Linked DNA regions of Saccharomyces cerevisiae S288C. The protein of the gene in region 2 binds, or shares a complex with, the protein of the main gene of each other region. Each region holds a gene or a part of one and is shown on either strand. Other genes may lie near its edges. A codon is read from its position in the direction of its gene.

Region 1 (3,906 bases), on a different chromosome or scaffold from region 2:
TAAATCAATTTATTTTACGTTACGATAGAGCCAGCGGGCCAGGAGGCCAAAACGTTAATAAGGTAAATAGTAAATGTACTTTGACACTTTCTGGTTTATCAAACTGTGCTTGGATTCCTCAGGAAGTGAGAAACATCTTAAGTAGCGGCAGGTTTCGATACTACGCTAAGGGCAGCGATTCTATAGTAATTCAATCTGATGAAACTAGGTCAAGGGAAACCAACAAATTAAAATGCTTCGAGAAGTTGGTTCAAGAAATTCGGCAAACGTGCCAATTTCCTAATGATACCACTGCTGAGACCTCAAAGAAATGGAATAAAATAAAAGAGAAAGCCAACAAAGAGCGACTTCTTGACAAAAAAGTTCACAGCGATAAAAAGAAAAACAGAAGTAAAATTAAATTCAATTATTAATACATAATACGCATATTTAAACACACATTCTATCCAGGTACACAGTGATGTACAGTTCAGTGCATCATTTAAACAAAAAGGCACATATTAAAGGGTATAAGGATTATATCCATCTTCATCATCATCTTCGCTAGAGACAGTGATATATGTCTCTCCACTATTTCTCTTGGCCGGTTCACTTTCAGGTTTTTCTTCTATTTTAGCCTTCTTAGCAGGTGGGTTCGTTATTTCATAATCATCATCTGTTGTGGTAGCGGTGGCTGTGGAGGTAACTGTATCTTCGGCAAAATCTTCATCATGAATTATTCTGCTACGTTTCTTGTGATAGTTTTCATTTTCAATAATAGCCTTATTCAGTACTAGACCTCTTTCATCCTTGAAATCTCTTGCCTTTCCACGATATTTGATCACGTTTCCCAATATACTTTTCCCCAATCGATCCTTAAAAGTTGCTGAATGTAATTCAAAACATCTATTCGTCAACAGATCAAAAGCACCAGCAAATGCCTTTTTAATATCTCGAATGTTAAAGGACCCTCGACTGATGTTATTTGATTCATCACCTGGATCTTGAATGGCCAATGAAAATGGATTTTTAATAGGCTGAATAGCACTCCATGTCGATTTTGGAAAGTATACTGGATATCCATCCGATGATCCCAGTGCAACATCATCATAACCAAAATTTTTCCCATAAAGTTCAAAAAACTCTATCAGGAGCACACCCAAGTTGTCCTTTGGATCTATTTCGTTAGTTATTATACGTGGGTGCATATGCAAAAAGGAAAAGACAAGACATATAATACTAAACCCACCAAGACCACCGGTATGCACATTATTTAGTCTTCTTGCGTGTAGGAATTGTTTTACGATAAGGACTAATTCTCTCAGGCCGGGGGTATCGTCCAACCACTCTCTAATAAGCTTTGCTGCTTCAATACCATTTGTTCTCTCAAATGAAACATCTATGTGGATCCCTGAATGTGGCTCAACAAACTTGATGATTGGAACGCGAGCTTTGGCGACAACTTCAACCTCTGTTGCCAAATTTTTTTTTTTTAAATGGCTTGCTAACGAATACAAGTTATTCCTACTTTCCTTACCACCAAGTTCGCTCGTTACCACGCAATCAATATCGGAACCAGGCAAATACAAATCGGTAGAATATGATCCAAACACGTGCAAATCAGCATCTGGCCATAACTGTTTGACAGCCTCTCTTATTGTACTTATGGTTTGATTACGAATTTCAATTTCTTCACGACTTGGTGAGATATAGGCAACAAAATCCTTGATTTCAAAGGTTAGCCAGTCCGAGATTTCTTTCTGTTTGGAGTGATCATGATTTAAAATCCATGGATAATCAGTATTAAGGATTTCCTTTTGCTTTTCTTTTTTAATTTCTAATTCTTGTTTCTCCCTCTCCTCTTCCTGTTCGGCTTGCTCATCCTCAGAACTAGCAGAAAGAGAGATAAAATCATCATTGTTAGCAAGATCCTTCTCATCCCCGTGCACTGCTAATGAAGGCGTTTTACTTTCTTCAGTAGTCGAGGGAATATCAGTAGGGTTATCGAAATGTCCATCGTAGACATCGAATCCTTCATCATCATCAGATTTATGTTCTAATACAAGAATTCCATCCGCCGTGACGTGATCTTTAGGTAATTTATTTGTCTCTTGCTCATTACGACTAGGTAAAATCTCTACTTCGTTTTCGTCGTTCAAGGATATAGACTTCTGTGGTTTCCGTACTTTCTTGATTTTCTTGCTCTTTTTCACTTTCCCATTATGCCGGTTTTTAATCTTCTTTGAAGAAGAGGCTGTTACACTCTTTGCCCCCATATTTCAAGTATAGTTCCCTTGCTTATTCACACTTTATGAAAGCGTAACGTTTTTGGTCGTATATTCAAATGGTTTTTTTTTAATGAAACTTAATAGTTATTCTATATTATTTTCCTCTTTTTTTTATTTTATTTTTTTTTTCACACATTATTTTAGAATCATATACAAGAAGCCGAGGATGAATACAGGTTTCTTCGACACTCAACGTGATAATCAAAAGGCAAGATAAGAAAACTGAGTAAACCTAAATATCTCACGCTTGGGATCCTTTACTTAAATTCAGTTAGGTGTTCAGCTATTCTAAATTCAAGAGCGTAAAGTACAAGGCATATTATATAGATATGTATACGTATACAATTGTTGTTGGCTGACTTCTGAGTTTTATAGGATATTATTAGAGATTATTGTTACAGATACAACCCACTTTAAAGGAAAGTCCAATTATTAATTTATTAAGAAAAGCATAAGTGTTACAAGGGCTAATTTGGGATAAAGGTGAATACACAAGAAGCAAATGTCACTTCAAAGTCTCTGGAATATGAGAACTGTGGCATAACCAACCAATAGGTTGTTTAACCTTCTGTTTATCATTAACATATCTTGAGTTTTCTAATATTTCAACAACATAGTTTAATGAATACCCACGATTAAGGCCAGTTTGAATGGCTTTCCAAAGAACCTTTCTTCTCGAATATCTTTTATTTACTGCTGGATCTCGCCTCCATGCCGTTTGATAAAGAGCTTCCATTTTCCTTATAGAAGGCTGCCCGTTAACACCTTCTGTATACTCCTTCCAAACCTCCATCACAGAGTGTGGTGACTTGATAAATTCGAAGGGTCTTGTGCAGACTATTCGTTTCCGTTTCAATCCTGTTTTAGTCTCATACTGTTCCTCCTCAAATGTCGGCACGCTCTCTTGTGCATTTGATTCAACCGCATTTTCATGGTTAGGAGAAACTTTCTGGAGATTAGGAGACTGCCGTGATTGAGAAGAGTTGCTGCTTATGTACAGTCCTTGACTTTGGCCACCATCATTGTTAGGTGGATTTGCTGAATACTCTTCCAAGGATGGGACTAAATTGGAATTATAATTTTGCGGCTTGTTGAACCGAGTGTCCACTGAAGGGTTGGTGCTATTATTTTCTTGGCTTATAGAATTTGAGCTGTTAGTTTGTTGTTGACTCTTATCATTTTCTTGTGAATTTCCATTCAAAATGTCCTCAAAAAGTGTTTCATTACTAACAGCTCCTTCATTTTGCGGATGAGCAGTTTGATCATTATTCATAGGCACTGAAGTATAATTCCTAGGAGCTCCTGGTGCCGTAGTTCCATCAGTGAAGCCTTGTGGGTCAAGAGTTTGGCTTAAGGATATTGACGTAGCTGACACCCCATGCAACGTTCCGCTTAATTTTTCACTGAGAATTTCAGCGTGGCGTTGTTGGTCATTCAGCAATGTTGATAAAAACGCGGTCAGTTCGTTGATTTGTTGCTGTTGGGAGTTTACCACTACATCATATTTTTTAAAGTGAAGATCGAGACGGTTACTTAACGCGTGAAATATACCCTCAAACATCGACATACGCCTTTCCAGCTCAGCAACGCGGTTGGTTAATATAGCCTCATTCTCATTTAGGTTTGAAGCTCCTATGTG
Region 2 (4,271 bases):
TTGCTTTAATAACTTGATATCCACGGACATGTCTTTCTTTATGGATTTTAAATTGTCTAGAGCCTTTGTAAATTTCATCGCTTGGAAAATTTCATCAAACTTCTTTTTAAGATTGGATGGTTCACTCAGTGGCCACAGGCTGTCTTCTTGGTGACAGAATATCACGTATTCCAAGATCGCTTTTGGAACTCCCAGATACAGGGGTACTTGTGCGTCTAATTCCAGAGACCGGGTGGACAAAGTACTGCGGTCACCACTATTATTTATAGCGACCAACTGGCCTTCTAAAGTCTTAAATGTAGTAGTAGTCTTTTTCATTAGCAACTGAATATTTCTGGTGACAATCATATTGAGTCCATTGGCACTCGTAAACGCCAGTTTGACCTGAGCTCTAATGTCCTTTTCACCAGTTATCTTCGGGTCATGAATGAATACTCCTCCCTTGCTGTTGGGCGGTAGATCACCTGTGGTAGCGTACTTTAAACATTCGATGATAGTCGTTTTACCTGAACCATTCATGCCGACTATTAAAGTCAGAGGCTTGCCAAATTCAATAGTTTCCCTATCATTGGAGTCAAAAGACCGTATGCCCTGAATAGATAATTTATAGATAGCGCTCATGCCTGCTTTCCGTCGTTCCCTTGTTTTTGCCTCTCAATGGTTGCTACCACTTCTTAGAATTAAAGATTTCCATTTAAAGATCAAAGCTTGAAAGCCGCTTTAGAAGCGATGAGGCAAGAACAAAGGCAACAAACAGGGACAAGATGAAAACCGGAACCTTATCTCAGATGAAGACAAACGAGGTGAAGGCATTTTTTTTTTTTGACTAAGTTAGATTAATATTTGCATTGTCATATGGGTGGGTTCTACTGCAGTTACTAGCGCACGAGACAAGGCAAAGCCGTGAAAGTATTGCAAGATGCATGGTTATTATTCTCCGAAAATAATAAGTGAAGGATTGTAACATTACCGCAAGTATTAGTATTGTAAGTGGAAGTACTATCGGTTTCTTGTTTCAATGAATAGCACCAGAAACGCAAAAAATCTACAATTAGTTTATGGTCGAAATGAGCTACTGCGCACGTATAGCGCATTGTTTCCTATTCTACTAAAGTCCGCAATACATAATTCTATCGAGTACTCAAAAACATTATGCTTTTGATGGCTTGTTAGATATCCTTATGACCACTAACCTGAAATTGAGCAAATTCATTGGAAAGTCGGCGGCAAAAATAAATGTTTCGTCTTTGGTGATTTATTGGTCATTACATACGGTACATTTTTGATTTTTTTTTTTGCCACCGGTCGGAGCGGAGGAGGTGAAAAAGAAAAAGTATAAAAGGGCAAGTGTTTCGTCCTTCCTCCATGTTCCATTCCTCGTTAGCATGACTCCCCGCTCCTTCCCTTTACGAGTTTCATGCTTTTAACATATCAAAAGTCAGTACTCGGCAACCTTATTGTATCGTTTTCGTATCGTATCGCATCGTATTATCGTATTGTACACAACTAACTCACCAATCAAGGCTCTTCTTACAATTAGTTACGTTACCGTATCCATTGCTACAACCTATAATTTCAAGCAAAAGAAAAATATACTATTGTCTATTTTTTTGTATTGTAGTTTTCTCTGATTACACATTTTTTCTAGTACTTTTCTCCAAGCACGAGTTACAGGAAAGGAACCGGAAAGCAACAAACATACTAAACATCCCATAATGCAGCAGGACGACGATTTTCAAAATTTTGTAGCTACCTTGGAATCATTCAAAGATTTGAAATCTGGTATTTCAGGTTCTCGTATTAAGAAACTAACCACTTACGCACTTGATCACATTGATATTGAATCGAAAATCATATCTTTGATAATAGACTACTCAAGACTTTGTCCCGATTCTCATAAATTAGGTTCTTTATATATCATCGATTCAATAGGTAGAGCTTACTTGGATGAAACAAGATCAAATTCAAACAGCAGCAGCAACAAACCCGGTACTTGTGCCCATGCCATAAACACGTTGGGCGAAGTAATTCAAGAACTGCTATCCGATGCTATTGCAAAAAGTAATCAAGACCACAAGGAAAAAATTCGTATGCTTTTAGACATTTGGGACAGGTCCGGCTTGTTTCAAAAGAGTTACTTGAACGCCATCAGGTCAAAATGCTTTGCTATGGACATATCGAATAACACCGCGAACACCGCTTCACAACAACTATCACTGGATCCCAAGCAGAGGTCGAAACAAATCTTGTCAAATCTAAAGAAAAGTCCTCCTTTAAACTTGAACATAAGTCTTCCAACTGATTTGACTTCCACAGATCCAGCCAAACAGCAAGCAGCTCTTTTCCAAGTAATAGCGGCTCTGCAGAAACATTTTAAAACTTTGCCTTCACATACATCCGTGGGTACAGTCGCACCTCCCCAAGCCCATACAATTACCGAATATGGTAGCAGACGTGAACGTGAACGTGAAAGAGAAAGATATAACTCAAGAAGGAATAGATCAAGATCTCCTCCGGCACCATTTTCTCAGCCATCGACAGGCAGGAAGGACCGCTATCCATCTGTGGCCCAGGACCAATACAGCATAGGCGCCCCCAATACGACATTTGGCACAAACAATCACCACTTATACCCCGATGAGCTTAATGTTTCCAATAATCCTCATTATAGACCAAAACCAGTAAGTTACGACTCTACATTGCCACCAGATCATATTAAAGTCTACAGCCGTACTCTTTTCATCGGTGGGGTACCACTAAACATGAAGGAATGGGACCTTGCTAACGTTTTAAAACCTTTTGCTGAAGTACAAAGCGTCATTCTGAATAACTCCAGAAAACACGCTTTTGTGAAAGTTTATTCAAGACATGAGGCCGAAAATGTTTTGCAAAACTTCAATAAAGATGGAGCCCTGCCATTGAGAACTAGGTGGGGAGTTGGTTTTGGTCCAAGAGATTGTTGTGACTATCAACACGGTTACAGTATTATTCCTATGCACAGGCTCACGGACGCTGATAAAAAATGGTCAGTAAGTGCGCAATGGGGTGGCACTTCTGGTCAACCTCTCGTTACCGGTATTGTTTTCGAAGAACCGGATATTATCGTTGGTGAAGGTGTTTCTTCCAAGGCAATATCTCAAAAGATGCCTACTGATTCTGGCAGAAATGGGCCACGTTCTGGTAAACCTAACAAATCTGGTAGCATATCGTCGATATCTCCAGTACCCTACGGCAATGCACCATTGGCATCTCCTCCACCACAGCAATATGTGCAACCTATGATGCAGCAACCGTATGGTTATGCCCCCAACCAACCATTACCTTCTCAGGGACCTGCCGCAGCGGCTCCCCCTGTACCTCAGCAACAATTTGACCCCACTGCTCAATTGAATTCTTTGATGAATATGCTTAACCAACAGCAGCAGCAACAACAACAAAGCTAAGATCTTTACTCCACCCTTTATTTGCTCATAGTACATAAAACTAATCTACCTCTATATATAATTTCTGTTTTTTCCTATGTTCCTTTTTTTTTTTTGTTAAATGGACATCCTTATGTATTCACATAACTACTGTGTTTCAAATGTAGCATTATCCTATTCTTTATTCTCTTTTTTTACCGTATTCCTGGTTTTTTTTCAAGGTTTAGATGAAAATGAAAATGAAAAAAAAAAAAGGAAAGAAAACAGTTAAACAATCAATAAACTTTATATTCTACGTAATCATAAGCGCTTATCCAGTACCATGAAGGTAAATTTAATGTTGAAAAGAGGGCTTGCTACTGCAACTGCAACTGCCAGTTCCGCTCCCCCCAAGATTAAAGTCGGAGTACTACTGTCAAGAATCCCTATAATTAAATCAGAATTAAATGAACTAGAGAAAAAATACTATGAGTACCAATCAGAACTAGAAAAGAGACTAATGTGGACGTTTCCGGCATATTTTTATTTCAAAAAGGGTACTGTAGCAGAACACAAATTTCTATCCCTGCAGAAAGGACCTATCTCCAAAAAAAATGGCATTTGGTTTCCTAGAGGCATACCGGACATTAAACATGGCAGAGAAAGAAGTACTAAGCAAGAAGTTAAACTTTCTGATGACAGTACAGTAGCATTTAGCAACAATCAAAAAGAGCAAAGCAAAGACGATGTTAATAGGCCCGTGATTCCCAACGACAGGATAACGGAAGCAGATAGGTCAAATGATATGAAGAGCCTTGAAAGACAATTGAGCAGGACCTTATATCTTTTGGTTAAGGATAAAAGCGGTAC
Region 3 (7,851 bases), on a different chromosome or scaffold from region 2:
GTGTTTGTTATTTTTCTTTTTACCAACAACTGCTGCTGCCTTTTTGTTGCTGTCCACATCAGGAAAAGTTTTAGGAACTACGGCACTCGGTACACTCATTCCACCAAAAATGGATGACTTTTTCTTTGTACCAGATGAGGTGCTGGGCGATTCTGCCTTCTTGTTATTCTTTTTCTTATCATCTGCCTTGGACTTTTTCTTTTCCTTCTTCTTCTCTTTCTTCTTTTTCTTTACAGCTTTATCTGCCTCTTCACCTTCATCGACAACTCTTCTCTTCTTTGTGTCCTTATTGGATTTTACCTCATCGGGGCCTTGCGTAATATATTCCATGGGTAGCTTATAATCATCTTCTTGCTCTGATGGTACGGGTACATTGAACTTTCTTAAAATACTTTGAGCTCTATTATTTCTGGGATCCAGGAAACCCGAGCAAGCATATGCAAGACAACTTCTATCTTTTGCATCTTCAATCAAATCTCTCCATAACTTGCTTTTAGCCAGAGACCTTTGATGTCCCAAAACCCAAATACTTGTCTTGGCTCTAGTCAGAGCCACATTCATACGACGAAAGTCCTTTAAAAAACCGACACTAGATTTCGTATCATCGGCACGGACACACGATATCAAGATGATTTCTTTTTCTTGACCTTGGAAACCGTCGATTGTATTGAAATCGATTGATTTGTTGATCATGCCTCCAAAATAGCGGGCAAACTCTTTACGCATTTTTTGCATTTGCTCTCTATAAGGTGAAATTATACCGATTTTTCCCGTGAAATCAATTTTATTATCGAATTTTCTGAAAAGGTAGTCAACTAACTCAATGGCAACACGTATTTCCTCCATATTTGTATAAGACATAGTCTTCGCATTTTGTTCTTGCCTACCACTAATGATGTCAAAAAATTTGTAGGGAGCTAATGGCTCAAGCTGGTGCCAGGGTCTTTTGTTCAAGATATCCATACCAGGGCCGTCTTTTAGTCGTCCCTGATAAAATTCAGAAGAGGGGAATTTACTGATGGAAGGATGCATACGGTATTGAACATCCAGCAAGTATGGGGAGCTATTTTTCTCCATTCTAACGAACAGTGACTGATTGTATTTAAAATTGCTTGCTGCACCTGAAAGAACAGTTGGTGGTAGTTGGTTAGGATCACCAACCATAATACAACGCTTCCCTCCATACCTGAGAGGAATAATTGAAGAAAGTTCGGTACATTGACATGCTTCATCTATAATGACCGTATCAAATTTAATACCCATTGTTGCGAGTACATCATGGGCTGAACCAGATAAAGTCGAACATATGATGTCACTAACCGCCAAGATATGGGCCTGTGCATTCCTTCTATCCAAATCCCTATTCCTATAATTTACGGAATTCTTCTCACGCATTTCGTCCCTATCACGGCCAAGTTCATTGATTATTTTACTTAGCTCCCTAATCTTAAGTTGTAATTTACTGATATCTTCGGTTGACATTGGACTTTCTGGATTACCACTCTCAGAGTCTAATTTTCCTCTCAATTCTCTTCTTTTAGTCACAGCATTATTAAATTTACGTTCTAGTTCCGGATCTGTTCTGATTTCGTAATTCCTTTCACCTATCCTTTTATCCACAAGTTCTTCTAAAGTAAGGTCCTTAATTGCAACGTTTACAACGTCTGACCTACCTACACGGACCAATTGAGGTTTAAATTGATGCCCCTGCTTGTCATACACTCCACTCTTCAGTCTGAGGCAGATTTCGTCCACAGCGGCATTACTGGGGGCACAGATTAGAATTTTTTGCTTTTTTAACAGTTGTTCAGTATTCGATGAGTTCTTTTCTAGTGGCACTTTGATGACATTTGAAGATGAGGCATTCTTTGTAGACAAAAAGTAACCAATAATACCCAGTATAGTCTTTGTTTTACCCGTACCAGGTGGACCCTGAATTAAAGAAAAACCTTCTTTAGATACCGAATTAACGATGGCCTCAGCCTGCGACGTATTGAGCTTATAGCTTTTCTTAACTGTTTCAATTTCTGCCGCATCCACATTTACGGGAGGCGATGGTTTAGCCTGTAGAATTTGGCCAACTAAGTCATAGTATTCCAGCCCTTCCAGTGTTGAATACTCTCTTTCAATAGTCGTCATTTGCATAACCTTCACACAATATATCTCTGATCTTAGTGTCAAAAATTTACTGAAAGAATGATTTCTATGAATTCGTAATGTGACATCAACATTACCACCTTTGGTATTTTTCAATGTTCTCACCTTTGCTAAACATGTATGTTGTGCTTTCTTGAAATCATCACTGGACAACCTTTTGTCTGGTCGAAAATCGGGTAAATAAGCCATTACAATTAAGTCAGATTCAGAAATACCACAATCCTGTATGACTTGTTTAGCGACAGAGGCATACACATCATAGAAATCTGACACAGCAGTTCGATTTCCTACAATAATACTGAAAGGTTTATAGTCCTCTCTATCACGTGAAGAACATAGACCTTGCCAAGATTCTAGAAGTAGTAAAGGCTTCATGACTTTTTGGTAGTCAGCAGGAGAGTTGAAGAAATCCTTTACGTCAGAATAATTACCAATAGGCTCATCATCAGGATATTCACTATTTCTGGTGTAATCCCATTGCAATATGATTTCATATAGAGGGTTCATATCAACATTTAATCTCTTTCTCATATGTTCTAACTCCTGTTTAGCCAATTCAGCCGCAGTTTGTCTCTTGACAACCTTACCATTAATATCGACAGTTTGTATTCCTTTGCCTTTTGCCTTAGCAATAGCAAAAAGCTCCCGAGCGCTTTCTATATCGTTGTCACTCTCCTCACTACTGCTATCGTCGTTTTTGTTAGACAAACCCCTACTCTTTGTATGGAAAGCTGGCGCACTAGGTGGATGAACAACTCTGTTGTTTAATAATTGCATCCTAGCTAATTCCATTTTGGATAAAGGCTTAACAGGTTTTGTACGATGCAGTTTAGCATTAGCTGATGATTGGAACGTACCAAAAGATGTTATTTTAGGCTGAGCTACTCTTGGTCTCCCAGTTATTGAAGAAGATAAAGCTTTTCTTTGTAAATAGTCTGCCCTGGATTCAGCAGAAGAACTAGCAATGGTTGAAGACAGAGAGGGCGAGAGGGATGGTGACGCCGGCACAGAATCCGTTAAGTCGATCACCTTCCCAAGTCTTGATAATTCCTTTTCTTTTCTGTAGTTTTCAGCTTCTGTAGCGACCTCTTCCGTGAGTGCTTTATTGAATATTTTAGCCTTTTGTAGAATCTCACTCGCCTGTTGCTCCGTCAACTTATTTGAAAATCTCTTTGCCTTCGAGGCGTACTTGGCCATCATTTCTACCAAGGAATCATCCACTTTCACATGCTTTTCATGTGCTAAATCAGACGTGCTTATAATTAATCTAACACAAGATTCCAAAAGTACTTCGTCGCTCAATCTCAGCCAATACAACATATTCTTAAAGGTTTCTAAAACGTTGAGAAGTAAATTTTTCGTTTGGTCATGAAGAATATCTGAAAATTCTCTAAAGGAGTCCACCAAAGAGCGACTTAGATCTAAAGTATCTTTGGTGAAATTTTCCAGTTCAGAATAGTCATATTTAGAAGCCCATTTCAAAGTAAACTTATAAATCGTATCCAAGAATAACCAACATGATTCCCAGAATTTTAAAAATTCCTTTTCGGTATTTTGGCTCTTCAAAGTTTGGAAATTAGCAAACACACCAGAAATCGGGTCTACAAATGCACTCACTACGTCCATCAAAACACGAACAGCACGGGGGCAAGGCTCATAGAATTCACAATTGATTAATCTTTGTAGCATCACGTTTATATTCTTCAAGTTAACGGTCAAATTACTATTCAGAATCGCTAAGATACCTTCCAGTCTACCCTCAACGTCAAATGTATTGTATAAAATATTAGTAGCTGCTTGATACAAGTGTTTATCAGAGGAGAATATGCAGGACCAAAAACCCTGCGATGCATCTTCATCCGCAAGGATTTTAGACAGTTGACCGGGCAAAATATCCGCAAATTTTTCCATTAATCTCGTTGATAGCAGCAAAAACTTCTGATTCAATGCGTTGTGTGCCTCAGCTACGGCAGTATTTGACGGTACTATCAAAAGACCATTAATATTTTTTAAAGATACTAGCAGCTGTTTGGCCAGCAATGGACCGTCATGAAAAGATCTCAGGTCAATTTTATTTGTAACATTTTCCAAGACGTTGGTTGAAATTGGAATTTCGCTAATTGGTTTACCTGAATAAAGCTTAAACGTTCGATGACATAATAACAGTATATCAAAATCGATACATTCTGCCAATACCATCATCGTGGATGTGGCCACCGATGCAGAAGCAGCACCTAGCCCAGGATAAAAGTCGTTAGGATTCGAAGCTGATCTAATTATTATGTCTTGGATCAAAGGATTGTTGAGCAAAGCTCTAGAATCTGTTTTAGTCAACAGTACTGTTTCAAATTCATCATTCTTATAAAGCATTGCCCTTTCATTTTCCTTAATAGTCAACACAGCCCTCAACAAGGCAGTTGCTGAATTCATTAAACAAGCTTTGGGAATGGATTTTAGGGATGGATAATTGGCTATTATACGCAGGAACGCCATTGAGACCTTTCTAACCATTTGAATTCTTTTGGATGGTGACAGTGCATGATAAAATGGTAAGGTCCAAGAAAGTAAATCGGTTACAGAACCGGTAAGTTGAAAGTAAACTTCTGTTTGATGCTCAACAATTGGATTGTCTTGAATTTTGATTAGTTTGATTGGGAATGAATCTCTATTGAAAATTATATCCAAAATGCTATGGAATGTGAAGGGTTCAATTTTGGACCAAAACTCGGAGCCAAATTTATTCAAGAACATTGTTAATCCTCTTAACAAAAAGTCTAGTGGCTTATCATGATATGATTTGCTTAAGTGATTGTACCACATTTTAAAAATTGGCTCTAACGGAAATTTGAATGTTTTTTTTAAAGATTCCACATTTTTTGGGACCTGAAAGTACTCTATGAAGACGTCTTTATCAAATAAATTGAAAACCGGTAGTAATCTCGACCAGAATTGAGATACCACAATCTCTGTCCAGTTTGCCGGATTCTGTAAGAATAAAATATGGATATAAACTTCCTCAATAATATCCGGTGTCAGGTTAGAAAGATTTATATGGAAATTTCTTGAGTATAAATCCTTTAGAAAAGCTCGTGACCACTCATTTTCCTCTTTTGAACCTTCACACCAGCAAAATATGACACCTGATATAAAGGTTTTTATGCTTAATGGATTCGTAACGTCCAACAAACGATGCTTTGTGTCGTAGAAAAATTTGAAGATTGCTTCGAAAGTAGCCTTAAGTTGCTTGTTAAGCCTCAACATATGCGGATTACAGAGACACTCGTACATTGCAGTTTCAATTTCATTTGTAATGTTAATTCCCGTATTATCGTTAACGGAAATATTTCTAAGAATAGGAAAAACAGCCTCCACCCTCCATTGGCATACGATGTCATTAAACTTGGCTACATGTTCATGCGGCACATGTCTTTGAATGGCAAAATGTTGTAACATTTTGCACTTCCCTCTCGCAAAATTTAGAATGCATTTATCACAAACAGAGAGAATTGGATTAAAATGATTCTTCAGCCATGTGGCCGTAGCTTCTTCATTGAATGAGAAAATGGTTAGGGAAAAAATTGATATTGGTTCAAGTATGGGGTCGCAAAATAAATGCGTACCCTTGGGAACTTCTGCTAGAACTTGTAATAACTCCCCTAATAATTTTGCCTCTTGAATATTTGGATTTGTGCCTTGATAAACTTGTTCAATCTGAGGAATGTAAGACTTTGCCTTGGTATAGACGGTAGCTAGCTGAACATCGCTATTGGGGGCAATATCCTTATCCTTATTATTATTATTAATGTTGTTGCTATTATTATTATCAGGATTGTTGGAATTCATTTATAATAAACAGATGCGCTTTTTTATATATATAGAGATAGATGCCATACAGAGATGAAGTAGAAAATAAATGACAAAGTAGAGCTTTTTTGTAGGTGTAGATGATAAGATTAAAGTGCGGGAAGCCTTTAAAGTGATCGATTATTCGTTCCTATGAAGCTTCGTAAACTTTTCTAGTAGGTTAATATGCAGGAGAAATGACCTACACTAGAGAAGAATGAGAAAATGAAAGCTCTATAACTTTGAAACAAAAGGAATAAAGTTGCAAACGTGCACCTACAAAATAAACCTAACCAATGACCTTTTGTTAGAATTCCTGATCTCATCAACTTCTAACTTGTGGTTAATTTTTCAAGATCCTAAAATATGCGAAGAAAAATATAAATAAAAATTCATTCAGGGTTACCTTTACTATGTAACGCGTTTTAACTAAAAGAAAGACTTATTTATGCTTGCATAAAACTATATGATGAGGACAATTATACATTGGTCACATAACGCTTAGTGTTTTGTCAAAAACATTCTTTTTCCTGTGGGAAAGCAACATTTTGTTTCCTTTTTTGTTAGTGGACAGGTGAACATGATTCACTTTCTAAGTGCATTATTATCGCCGCCGTCTTATGTACATTACATATAATCAAAATACATCTTTCCTATAAAAAGGACTCACTTAATTTTATCATTAAAAGTACAAAAAATTTTCATTTTGACAGTTCGCCAATTTTTTGTTCCAACTTTAACAGGCGCTCATCTTTGTCAAGATTTGCTTTCGTTAATTTATCAACTACATCTTCTAATTGCAGAACCAATGTAGATAGTTTTTCGACAGACTTTTTTAAACCCAATGACTTAGGTGATGTCCTTGCCGCGGATGGCTCTTCCTTACTGCTGGCAGTAATGGCTGTCTTAGCAGCCGTAATTGAAGAAGGAGGTGTTGCGGATTTTTCCTGCTCAGGGGACTTTGTTTTCTCAGAGGACTTCTCTTCTTGAGGTAAGCTTTGCTCCTGTTTTCTATCTGTTGCGATAGACACTGGCTCTGGCTTCAATTCTTTTGAAGGTTCGACCTTAGGTGTGCGATCCTTTTTAGTTTCTGTTGGAGTGACTGGGGTTTCGATTTTGATAGGAGCTGGCTCATCATCGGCTTCTTCCCATCCGGAGGTATCCCTAGACGGATCTTCGGCGTTGTTAACTTGATCAATATCGGAGGATTTCTTCAACAACTTGTTGATCGAATTATCTTCCTTTAATACATGGTTGATTGTAGAAGATGAGGAGGCCGACTTTAGCGGTGAGGGAGATTTTGGAGCTTCTTGTTTCACCTCCTTTTCGGATTCGCTGATTGGCTTCTCCACTTTAGGCTGCTCCTTTTTCTCTTCAAGAGCTGTTTCTTGAGTTGTTGGCTGTTGAGGTCTTTTAGCCTCATGAAAGCTTGGTGCGGAACCGTCATAGATAGATCTCATACTAACGAGAATTGGACCTTCAACAGACTTGCCAGAAAACCACTCTTCAGCAGTTAAAGCTGGCTTATTGGAAGGTGCATCCGGGTAGATATCTTCTTGGAACTCCTCTGATCTCCTTGGAACAAAGAAAGATACCGGTTCGATACGCTGATCAACGACAGTCTTGAAACCTTTTAAGACTTCGTTTTCTTTGACGTTCACCATTCGCTTAGGCGCTACAGCAAAGCCTCTCTGTGCTTCTGTGGATTGGAATTCAGACAACTCAAACAGCTCGTCGTTTTGAAATTCGTAGTATCGAATATTACCATCACCTTTCCCCACCAAGTAAAGAATCTTATTCCCTTCGTCATAAAAGGGCATCAAAATACCTGATGATTGGTCGACAGTGTAG

Evidence for each region. Proteins that work in one complex are often made in the same cells at the same time.
Region 1: the proteins of NRD1 (region 2) and PAP2 are in contact, whole or in part, in an NMR structure (PDB 2MOW), measured with the Saccharomyces cerevisiae proteins. Residues at the interface, in NP_014148.1 of Saccharomyces cerevisiae: Lys21 (codon at 1,776), Gly23 (codon at 1,782), Ile24 (codon at 1,785), Ser25 (codon at 1,788), Gly26 (codon at 1,791), Arg28 (codon at 1,797), Ile29 (codon at 1,800), Lys30 (codon at 1,803), Tyr67 (codon at 1,914), Asp70 (codon at 1,923), Ser71 (codon at 1,926), Arg74 (codon at 1,935), Met126 (codon at 2,091), Leu127 (codon at 2,094), Ile130 (codon at 2,103), Arg133 (codon at 2,112); in NP_014526.1 of Saccharomyces cerevisiae: Asp573 (codon at 539), Asp575 (codon at 533), Glu576 (codon at 530), Asp577 (codon at 527), Gly578 (codon at 524), Tyr579 (codon at 521), Asn580 (codon at 518), Pro581 (codon at 515), Tyr582 (codon at 512), Thr583 (codon at 509), Leu584 (codon at 506).
Region 3: the proteins of NRD1 (region 2) and SEN1 are in contact, whole or in part, in an NMR structure (PDB 6GC3), measured with the Saccharomyces cerevisiae proteins. Residues at the interface, in NP_014148.1 of Saccharomyces cerevisiae: Asp19 (codon at 1,770), Leu20 (codon at 1,773), Lys21 (codon at 1,776), Ser22 (codon at 1,779), Ile24 (codon at 1,785), Ser25 (codon at 1,788), Gly26 (codon at 1,791), Ser27 (codon at 1,794), Arg28 (codon at 1,797), Lys30 (codon at 1,803), Tyr67 (codon at 1,914), Asp70 (codon at 1,923), Ser71 (codon at 1,926), Arg74 (codon at 1,935), Lys123 (codon at 2,082), Met126 (codon at 2,091), Leu127 (codon at 2,094), Ile130 (codon at 2,103), Arg133 (codon at 2,112); in NP_013534.3 of Saccharomyces cerevisiae: Asp2052, Asp2053, Asp2054, Glu2055, Asp2056, Asp2057, Tyr2058, Pro2060, Ser2061, Ile2062, Ser2063.

The regions. Positions count from the first base shown.
Region 1 is NC_001147.6:99,824-103,729, reverse strand, and holds PAP2 (non-canonical poly(A) polymerase PAP2), read right to left. Parts: upstream 2,256-3,906; coding exon 501-2,255; downstream 1-500. Other genes in the region: PTH4 (Pth4p), read left to right, coding at 1-413; MSN1 (Msn1p), read right to left, coding at 2,773-3,906. UniProt on the Saccharomyces cerevisiae protein: Catalytic subunit of the TRAMP complex which has a poly(A) RNA polymerase activity and is involved in a post-transcriptional quality control mechanism limiting inappropriate expression of genetic information.
Region 2 is NC_001146.8:171,760-176,030, reverse strand, and holds NRD1 (Nrd1 complex RNA-binding subunit), read left to right. Parts: upstream 1-1,715; coding exon 1,716-3,443; downstream 3,444-4,271. Other genes in the region: RAD50 (MRX complex DNA-binding subunit), read right to left, coding at 1-621; mitochondrial 54S ribosomal protein mL46 MRPL17, read left to right, coding at 3,745-4,271. UniProt on the Saccharomyces cerevisiae protein: Plays a role in sequence-specific regulation of nuclear pre-mRNA abundance.
Region 3 is NC_001144.5:991,583-999,433, reverse strand, and holds the start of SEN1 (DNA/RNA helicase SEN1), read right to left. Parts: upstream 6,001-7,851; coding exon 1-6,000. Other genes in the region: CRN1 (coronin), read right to left, coding at 6,702-7,851. UniProt on the Saccharomyces cerevisiae protein: ATP-dependent 5'->3' DNA/RNA helicase required for the expression and maturation of diverse classes of non-protein-coding RNAs like precursor tRNAs, rRNAs and small nuclear (snRNA) and nucleolar (snoRNA) RNAs.